2 linked regions of the Drosophila melanogaster genome follow. The protein of the gene in region 2 interacts with the protein of the main gene of each other region in a pairwise test. Each region holds a gene or a part of one and is shown on either strand. Other genes may lie near its edges.

The links.
Region 1: the proteins of CG7742 (region 2) and Acyp interact in a two-hybrid assay, tested with the Drosophila melanogaster proteins (2 studies listed by BioGRID).

Annotation. Positions count from the first base shown.
Region 1 is NT_033779.5:13,910,342-13,913,473, reverse strand, and holds Acyp (acylphosphatase), read right to left. Parts: upstream 1,392-3,132; 5' UTR 1,274-1,391; coding exon 911-1,273; 3' UTR 822-910; downstream 1-821. Other genes in the region: Ance-2, read right to left, coding at 1,834-2,140, 2,198-2,758, 2,811-3,132.
Region 2 is NT_033779.5:5,211,863-5,217,228, forward strand, and holds CG7742 (uncharacterized protein), read right to left. Parts: upstream 3,220-5,366; 5' UTR 2,725-3,219; coding exon 2,455-2,724; intron 2,299-2,454; exon of another isoform or gene 2,290-2,298; coding exon of another isoform or gene 2,224-2,289; intron 2,162-2,223; coding exon 1,975-2,161; intron 1,922-1,974; coding exon 1,828-1,921; intron 1,779-1,827; coding exon 1,526-1,778; intron 1,471-1,525; coding exon 1,001-1,470; intron 935-1,000; coding exon 853-934; intron 801-852; coding exon 627-800; 3' UTR 533-626; downstream 1-532. Other genes in the region: Cyp28d1 (cytochrome P450 28d1), read left to right, coding at 19-288, 351-517; CG14034 (uncharacterized protein), read right to left, coding at 3,421-3,559, 3,612-3,780, 3,843-4,420, 4,473-4,575, 4,625-4,652.

The sequences.
Region 1 (3,132 bases), 8.7 Mb from region 2:
ATGTTGTGACTCATGTCAGGTGAAAATCGAGATGATATATGGGCAGGGAACTATCCCCAAAGATGTTAAATGGGGGGAGGGGAGCATGACTCTTCACCCCGATGAATCGAATGGCCTGGCACGCTGACTGATGCCTTGATTGTCAATCTGCTGACATACAAATGAGAATGCATATATATGGTATATATTATATATTAATGTGCTCGGGGAGAGGTGTGTGATTCAGGCTGTAATTAGATTGGGATCTGCAAAGTAGCTATCTGTCTCGGATATGAGCTCATAAATATTAGACACTTTATGATGTGGTTGGCTGATTCGGTTTTCTACCTGGAACTGTTACCTTATTTTTGGGCCAAAAGCTAATTAACAGTCAAGGTCGGCCAGGGTTTTATTACCACTTGGCTATGCCCAGAATATAGTACAAGTTCTGGACAGCTAAGAACCGTGGGAAAATAGCGGCAAGTGCCTGTAAATCATTAATTTACACGAGTGAATAGTTTATGACGCACACTAAGCACGTAGTGCAAATACGTTTTATTTTTATTTTCGCCAATAGTTATTTGCATGGTTTTAATAAGTGGCTATCGAGTGAAGAGCACAACGCGTCATTATAATCAAGTGCATTTTAATTACAGGGCGCGCTTATGTTTTGCATTTGGCTTAGATTATTTCCGCTTATTTTAAGTAAACAACACGTTAATCGTCATCAAGAAGACGCTGACTGATTGAGAACAAATGCAAGCCCAACGAACTGTGACTACATCCCAAACTCACTTCCCTCGGATTGGTAATTCAAGGATTTCAGAATAATATCGGATTTCCCAAGGACTATGCTGATTATTTTGCTCAATTCCCTTATGTACCAAGCACAATTTTTCACATTTAATTTTATTGTTCCGTCAAAAATCCGCTAATTGCTATCATGGTGGCTGGAACTACTGCCCAATCCTTCATGAACTGGGCGATTCTCGTGCGGATCGGGCTTGATATGAAAGTTGGCATAGCCATAGCGATCGCGCTCACGCTGAGAACTGAACTCCACCTTCTCGATGCTGGACAGCGGACTGCCCGTCGTCCTGAGCCACTCCTTCATCACATCCATCTCGGCCGGACGACCTTCGATGTAACCCTTCACGGTGCCCCTGCTGGAGTTCATGCACCAGCCGCGAAGACCCAGTGTCTTGGCCTTTCGCAGGGCGTGTCGCCGGAAGTTGACGCCCTGCACGCGGCCAAATACCTCGAATTCGCAGGAATGGACATTATGGGTCGCCATTGCGAAGAAGTCTCTACTGTCGTTTCCCAATATGGGGAAATTTTTGGGACTTTCGACGAAATCAAAAGGGATCCAAAATTGATTTATTCTATATTTTCGTTACGTTTCACATTTTGAACAAAAACGAAAAGTATATAACACAGGCTAGGCAAATTTAAAAAACATACACAAATTTATTACTAACGGCCAATTCCAATTTGACACTCATATGTAAATATGTAATTCTACATTTATTCTACATCTGTAAAAATATTCATTATTTGCCTTTTGATTGTGGCATACTTTTGGGTAGTTGAAACCAATTGATCCATAAATAGTTTTTATTACTAGAAAATAACTTTAAAATGTGTTTTATCTCATTTTTCTATCTAAGTCACGTCTACTTTATATTTAAGCATAGCATTACTTTTCCGATGATTAAATTCAAAGAGTTCATTTCCACACACAACTTTATGGTGGAAGTCTTATGAAAGACTGTGCTAAATACCCTTCCATTATTATGTTTTTATTTAAATAATTTACTAGTGATTAAATTTCCAAAATATCCCCTGCACCAAATCTTATGTCCAGCCCACTTCCAGGTTGTTTTCTTGATTCTGGTGCTGCAACCAGTCTTGCAGAGGTTGAAAGTAGGTGAGCAGTCCATCTATGCTGATCTCCGGCTCACCAAGAAGAACCTTTAGCACCTCCCTATAGTGAACCGAAGATCCCAGGGACATGGCGCGTTTCAGAATCTCTCCAATGCCTCGCTGATCGGATAAATCACACATGTCCAAGGGTTTCCTGGGATTGCCCATTTCAAACTGACCAGTTATGGTGCAAAAGTGTTTCAACAATTGGAACTGCAGAACAATGCTCAGGAAGTTGCTGAAAATCAACATAATTTAATATTCATATCTTCTAGTAAAGATTTAATATTTTTACCTGGCATACTGGTCATCTACCTCCATGAGAAGCTTAGCCGGCACATCGAACTGTTCATTGGTTCTTTTCGTTGGAGCAGCCGCTCCGGTATAAAGTTCTGTTAACCTCCAATAGGCCTCATTATCATCCGCCTTAATGTGTCCTGCCAGGACCTCGACTCTGTAGCGATCTAGTACATAGAAGACGGGTAGCAGGAACACAACCCTCAAGCCCTGAATATACAAGCGATTCAAACGTGCAGGCAGTTCCTTCCACTTGTTATCCCTTAGCATTCCCAGTTTTCTAAGGAATCGCGGTGAACTGGCTGCCATGGAGAAACATTTCCCGATGGCATCACTGAAATTGGGAAAGGGCTCCTCTTGGAGCAAAGTTGGTTGAATCGATGCAGCTCGATAGTATTGCAAATCCGACTGGGCCTCAAACATATTGAAGAAACGCTCCTCATCGTTCAGTGGACAGTAGGTGAAGTTCGTCCTTGGTAGAGCATAGTATCGCCAGGCTTTGTGCCAGCAGCGATCATCATCATCGGAGGACACTTTCTGGGCATATGTCCAAAGTGAGCTAAAATGATAAATATAATTAAAACTGTAATACATCTGATCAAATAACTTACTTCTCCAATTGCGGAAAACCCAGAGCTCTGAAGTACTCGGCCACATTCCAGAAAACTCTTTGAGTGGTACTCAATCCACGACGGTGCAGCTCCTGGGTAATATTGGCCAATCCGATCTCCGGCGACGGCAAATCCACATACCATTCCGCCTCAACCCGCCGGAAAGCATTTCCAATAAAGACCTCTGCCAAATGCTGGGGATAAGGTCTGTTTCTGGGCACCAAATGCTCCCCATGCATCTTCCTCAGTGATCCCCTGACATGGGCATGAAACTGAAGAAACAGCGGTCTCAAGCCATGCATTATCCTGTCTAGTAGATTCA
Region 2 (5,366 bases):
TAATATCTATATCTGCAGAAACTTTGAGAATTTTCTCACCTGTTCTGGCTGCCCGCAAGGTGGTAACTGAGCCCTGTGAACTGACGAACAAAAACGGAGTGAGCGTGAAACTGAGACCCGGGGATGTAGTCATCATTCCTGTGAACGCCTTGCACCACGATCCCCAATACTATGAGGAACCTCAATCGTTCAAGCCCGAGCGATTCCTGAACATCAATGGCGGAGCCAAAAAGTACAGAGATCAGGGTCTATTCTTTGGGTTTGGCGATGGACCACGTATTTGCCCCGGTGGGTAACATCATTTTTGAAACAATTAAAGTTACTAAAAAAAATCTATGCATAATTTGTAGGTATGCGGTTTTCACTTACCCAAATCAAAGCTGCCCTGGTGGAAATCGTGCGAAACTTCGACATCAAGGTTAATCCCAAAACTCGCAAGGATAATGAAATTGATGATACCTACTTTATGCCAGCCTTAAAAGGCGGCGTTTGGCTGGATTTTGTTGAACGCAATTAGTTATTCAATAATGTTACGACTTTATATTAAATATAGTTTATCCAGTTGCATACATGTTATATTTCCAAACACTCTTAATACTTTAATTTTGTAACTTAAAACCACACTTTTAGTCTCGACTTAGGGCTAGTTGCACTAGGGGCAGCACCTTGATAGAGGACAAGTCTGCCAGAATCGCTTCGATGCTATCCAACGAGGCCACCTGCATGATGCTCTCCTTTCGAAAGCTAAGAATGATGATGGCGAATAGAGGAAGGATCTCCAAGCTATCAAAGCCAAGGATCTGAAAAGGAAGGGATAAGTACTGCCAATAAGAACGGAGGTGTATTTCGTACCAGATCCCAGAGGACCAGCAATTGATCGGGAGGCAAATGTCCGGAAAACGCTCGCATAAGCCATTTGAAGACCACCCGCAGGCTAAGGAAAGATATGTCGTGAAATGGGTGAAATAGCTGTCTAACGAAAAACCCAATCCCAACTCACGGCTGTATCTGAAGCTCTCGGAAATGGGACCATAACTGCGGTTCGTATGTCTGCAGCAGCTTCTCGAAGAGCAGGCACAGACTGACAATCCCTTGAGGATGCGTGTTTATGGTGGTCAAGCGATGGCAGTACCGGATATAGAAGGCCCGGAATGTATAGTATAGACTCACCGGCGAGTCATACAGATAACAAAAGGGGGCGGCAAACATGCAGATGCCGTGGAAGGGCACCACACCCGATGGAGGACCTTCGTAGGTCTTGCCCTTCACCGGAAACGTCTCGTATTCCACACATCCACCGATATCGGTGTCCCGAGAAAAGCAGAGCAGCACCTGGTAGAGCACGTCCTCGAACACAAAGTACTGGTCGTCGTTGGAGGCCGTCAACTGAATGTCCTTGAAGACCAGTTTGTCAACGATGTGATCCGTAGTCCAAACGGCATTGCGCAGCTTTTGCCAGTACTCAATATCCTTCGGGGGTATAGAGATGTATAATGAGGTTATTGATCCCAAAATCAGTAGTTACGTAGTCATGTAGCTTGCTGTCCAGCACCGAAGCCCAGAGAGCTCCCCTATAAGGTGCGGGTGTGCAGCCCTTCTTCAGAAACTGCTGGCACATGGGCGCATGCCTGGCCTCCAGAATCCTCTGGCACTGAACCGTAAGATCCGGCACTCCCAAATAGCTATCACTTCGCAGCAGATCCGCGTAGTGGGCACGCAGCTCGAAAAGATTTTTCACAGGTAGTGCAATGTGGGAGAACTCCCATTGGGGGATTTGACTAATGAGCAAAATGATTATTTACCTGACTGATTTAAACCAAAACTTACTCTGTATTTTCAGTGGTTTTGGCGGGTCCTTTTAGCGAGAGTAGCACCTCCAGTAAATCCTTTGGAGCGTAAACAGGCCTATAGTTGGCCAGATCTAGAAGTTTAACCATGGTTAATTGTTAGCTTCAATATTTACGAAATGCCTACCCATATTGTAGTTGCTCAGTTCGTTCCACTTGGCCATAAAGTCCTCGCGATCAGCACTGATCCTTGGTTGTCCATGCAATGGAACCTTCAGCTCTGTACACATGGCATTCAAACTCTTCCTAACCCTTCGATCCCAAAGCACACCAGCTCTTTTTAAATATCCAAGTGGATCACTAACGGTGGGTTTCTATTGGAAAATATAGACATAAGTAAAGAACTATTTAATTCATTTTCCCTAGCACTACATACTACTAATACCCCTAAGGCTAACTCTATAGTTGTGGCACTTCGAGATCTTCCGGTATTATGTATCATTATAATTTGTTTTATAAACGTTAAGGTATAAAATAAAATTTTGCCAATAAAGTCAAAAAGTAGAAAATGATAGGAGCAGCATGGAATACTTTTAAATACCACTCCAATTATTCTAAATTCAATTACAAGAAATTTGATAAATTGTATCTTAAAAGTTGTACCCACCGCTCCCTGTTTGTTGGCCAGGTTTTTGTCATCTGTTTTCGACAGCCGCGTGCGGACCAGGTTGTAGACAATATTCCGGATCTCCGTCTCCAGTCCGGCGCTCTTGATGGCATCCTCGAGGGTGTTGCGCATATCGTGAGTATCTACGCTGGGATTGCAGACCAGCTTCTGCAGCTCCTTGTAGATGGGCTCGTAGCTCTTAGTGTTCTTGATGGCCGCGATTACCTTTGCGGTCATATGGTGGATGCTGGCATCCTGCAGCTCCTCCATGCCGATAGCTCCTTGACCCGACCGTTCTTTCTACGTATTACTCTGCCACTGACTACCAACTAACTATTTACACCGTTTTGATACCGATTAGCCCCAAAACTTTGGGCGCTCCTAACTCCGTCGTTTGACTTTTATCGATCAAACTCCGTCGCCTGCTTTGATTTGGAGTCGATTCGATTCCGAGTCACATCCTCGGTTGTCGTCGCTTCTTGGCGACGGAATGCAAACACTTGTTTGGCTGCTAGTTTCGCGTTAGTTGTGATTTGATTCGTTCGTTTTGCCGCCCCTCGCAACCAAGAAATTCCATTATGTTTCGTTTCGAATGAAAAGCCAGAGGCGCGTGAAATTGCTTTCCATATACATTTATTTTCACGCACACCGAAACACGCTGAAACTGAAACTGAGTGGCGGCAACTTTTCCTTTTTCTTGGCATCTGTCACCTGGCCCAACGAGTTGTTGACGTGGTCGTCGGGTTGGCTCCTCCTGTTGATTGCGAAGGTGGGCCAAACTCACCTGAACATGTCAGAGTGTCGAAAGTATTTCACCTGAATATTTAGACCAGGCCGAAATATGATTTTGAAATGGCAAAAATTTTTACACGAAAATAGAGATATATAATCCTCTATGTGGTACATTATTCAATGTTTATTTATGAATTAAAAATATTCGTTTTAAGATTTGGATAGCATCCCTTACTACGTTCCAATCAATTTATCTATAATATCATCGTTCACGAAAGTTCGACCTTTTAGTTGGCGGCTTATTGAGGTAAAGTTCTCTCCCTTGGCATAAGGAGGACCATTATTGGTATCCAGAAAATACCTGCCTCTGGCTCTGCAATTAAATAGATAAAAAGAGATCTGGAAAAATAGGTGCTGGCACTTACTTCGGATCCACGTGAAAACCCATCAGCTCTATATTTTTATCAGGAATGCAAATTCCCTTTGCGAAGCTTTTAAAATTGGGACAGTAGAAGCCATAGAATCCAGAAGGTGACGAAATAGACTCGGCATAATAGTCTGCTGCTCGGTTATGGTAGCAGAAATGAGTCTCCACTAAAGTCAGAACAACGAAAATGAAAAATATAGGTAAAGCAGATGGCCTTAATATTACTAACTCTTATTAATGGGTCCGCAGTTGGGCTGTGATACACCCATGTTCAAGTAGAAGTCCACGTGACCCACTGCATCCAGTAAGCCAAGCATCGTGACATCCGTGTGCACGACGTCCACGAACTTGGCATCAGTGGGATCGAGCTTTAGAGCCGGATCCTTGACCATGTAAAATGGTTTTGCCGGATCGAGGGCTGTAATATGCTCCAGCTTGTGTTCCGGAAGAAACTGCCCAATGAAGCCTGCGACATGGGCACCTAAGCCCAAGCCAATTAGGTGCAGATCCTCAATTTTGACCAATCCGCTCTCGAGGAGTACTCGTAGCAACTGAGCAGTACAGCGAGCTACGTATTTGGCATTGTGCACCGCTTCCGTATAGCAGGGTTCATAGGCTAGTTTTGGATAATCCAAGGATATCAAATTGTAATCCTGTGTCAGGAACAGCGGACGTAGCTGGGTATTGGGACTGAAATCGCGGTGCCCGTTGAATCCATGGATCAGAACCTTGAGCGGTTTGTGGTGATAAAATTCAAAACGATTAAGTTCAAAAACTGAAAGCTTAGTTCCCTCCTGATTTTCTTTTCTGCAGATACGGATAGATAATGAAAATCATAGTATAAAACCATTAATCTTACGTGTATAGCCAAAAGGAAATGTTGGCATTGGGACAAATTTCGTTTTGCAGGGAAAAACAGTTCATATCATCTAAGCCAGCAACGAGCATAACACTCGAGAAGCCTAAAACACGATTACTTTATGACTTTATTATTAACTCAGCCTGAATTACCTATTAAGACCAAGATGTTATTCATCATTCTCTTCGATTCCGTTGAGGCCTTTACTGATTTTTTTATTTTCCGACTTTATATGCTCTAGGTTCCATAAAATCTTTTTAATTAAGTTTGTCTCGTTCAACCGAATAAGTAACCGGAAAGCTTTTCTAATTGCAAAATATGTGCATCTGTAGCGCCCAGGGAGGAGCAGTAAAATATTATAGCAGTGGAATTCTGCATAAAAGTTAAATATGATTAAATTATAAAAAGAACAGAAATAGAATTTTAAAAATCAATTTAAAAATAAATAGGAAGTCAGTAATTAATTAATTCGCGGTTGACTTCGCTCCTGGGCAGAACAATTTGCAGTGGTAATTACATCGTAAATCTAGCCTTAAATTTCATGCCACCAAAATGTCAGCGTTCGAATTAGAACTTATGCCACAAGTGTGGCCAACACTCAACTCAAGCTATTTATACAGATACACATTTTGGGCATTGAAAATTATGCAAAAACAATCGAAGTGCCACTGTGTGAGTGCACTGTGGTCGCCAGAGCAACCCAACCCAACCCAACCCAACCCCTCTTCCCATTGTGCCATTCCGTCACCTCACTGGGACATTCCAAATGTGTTTCACGTTTTGTCATAAATAATAAAACTCAAATGACCATCAAAGCCACTACTGTGCGCCTTTGCCAAAAAAAAAAATGCCGCTGCCGGAAGGTTACCCACTCATACAGAACTATCCAAATTC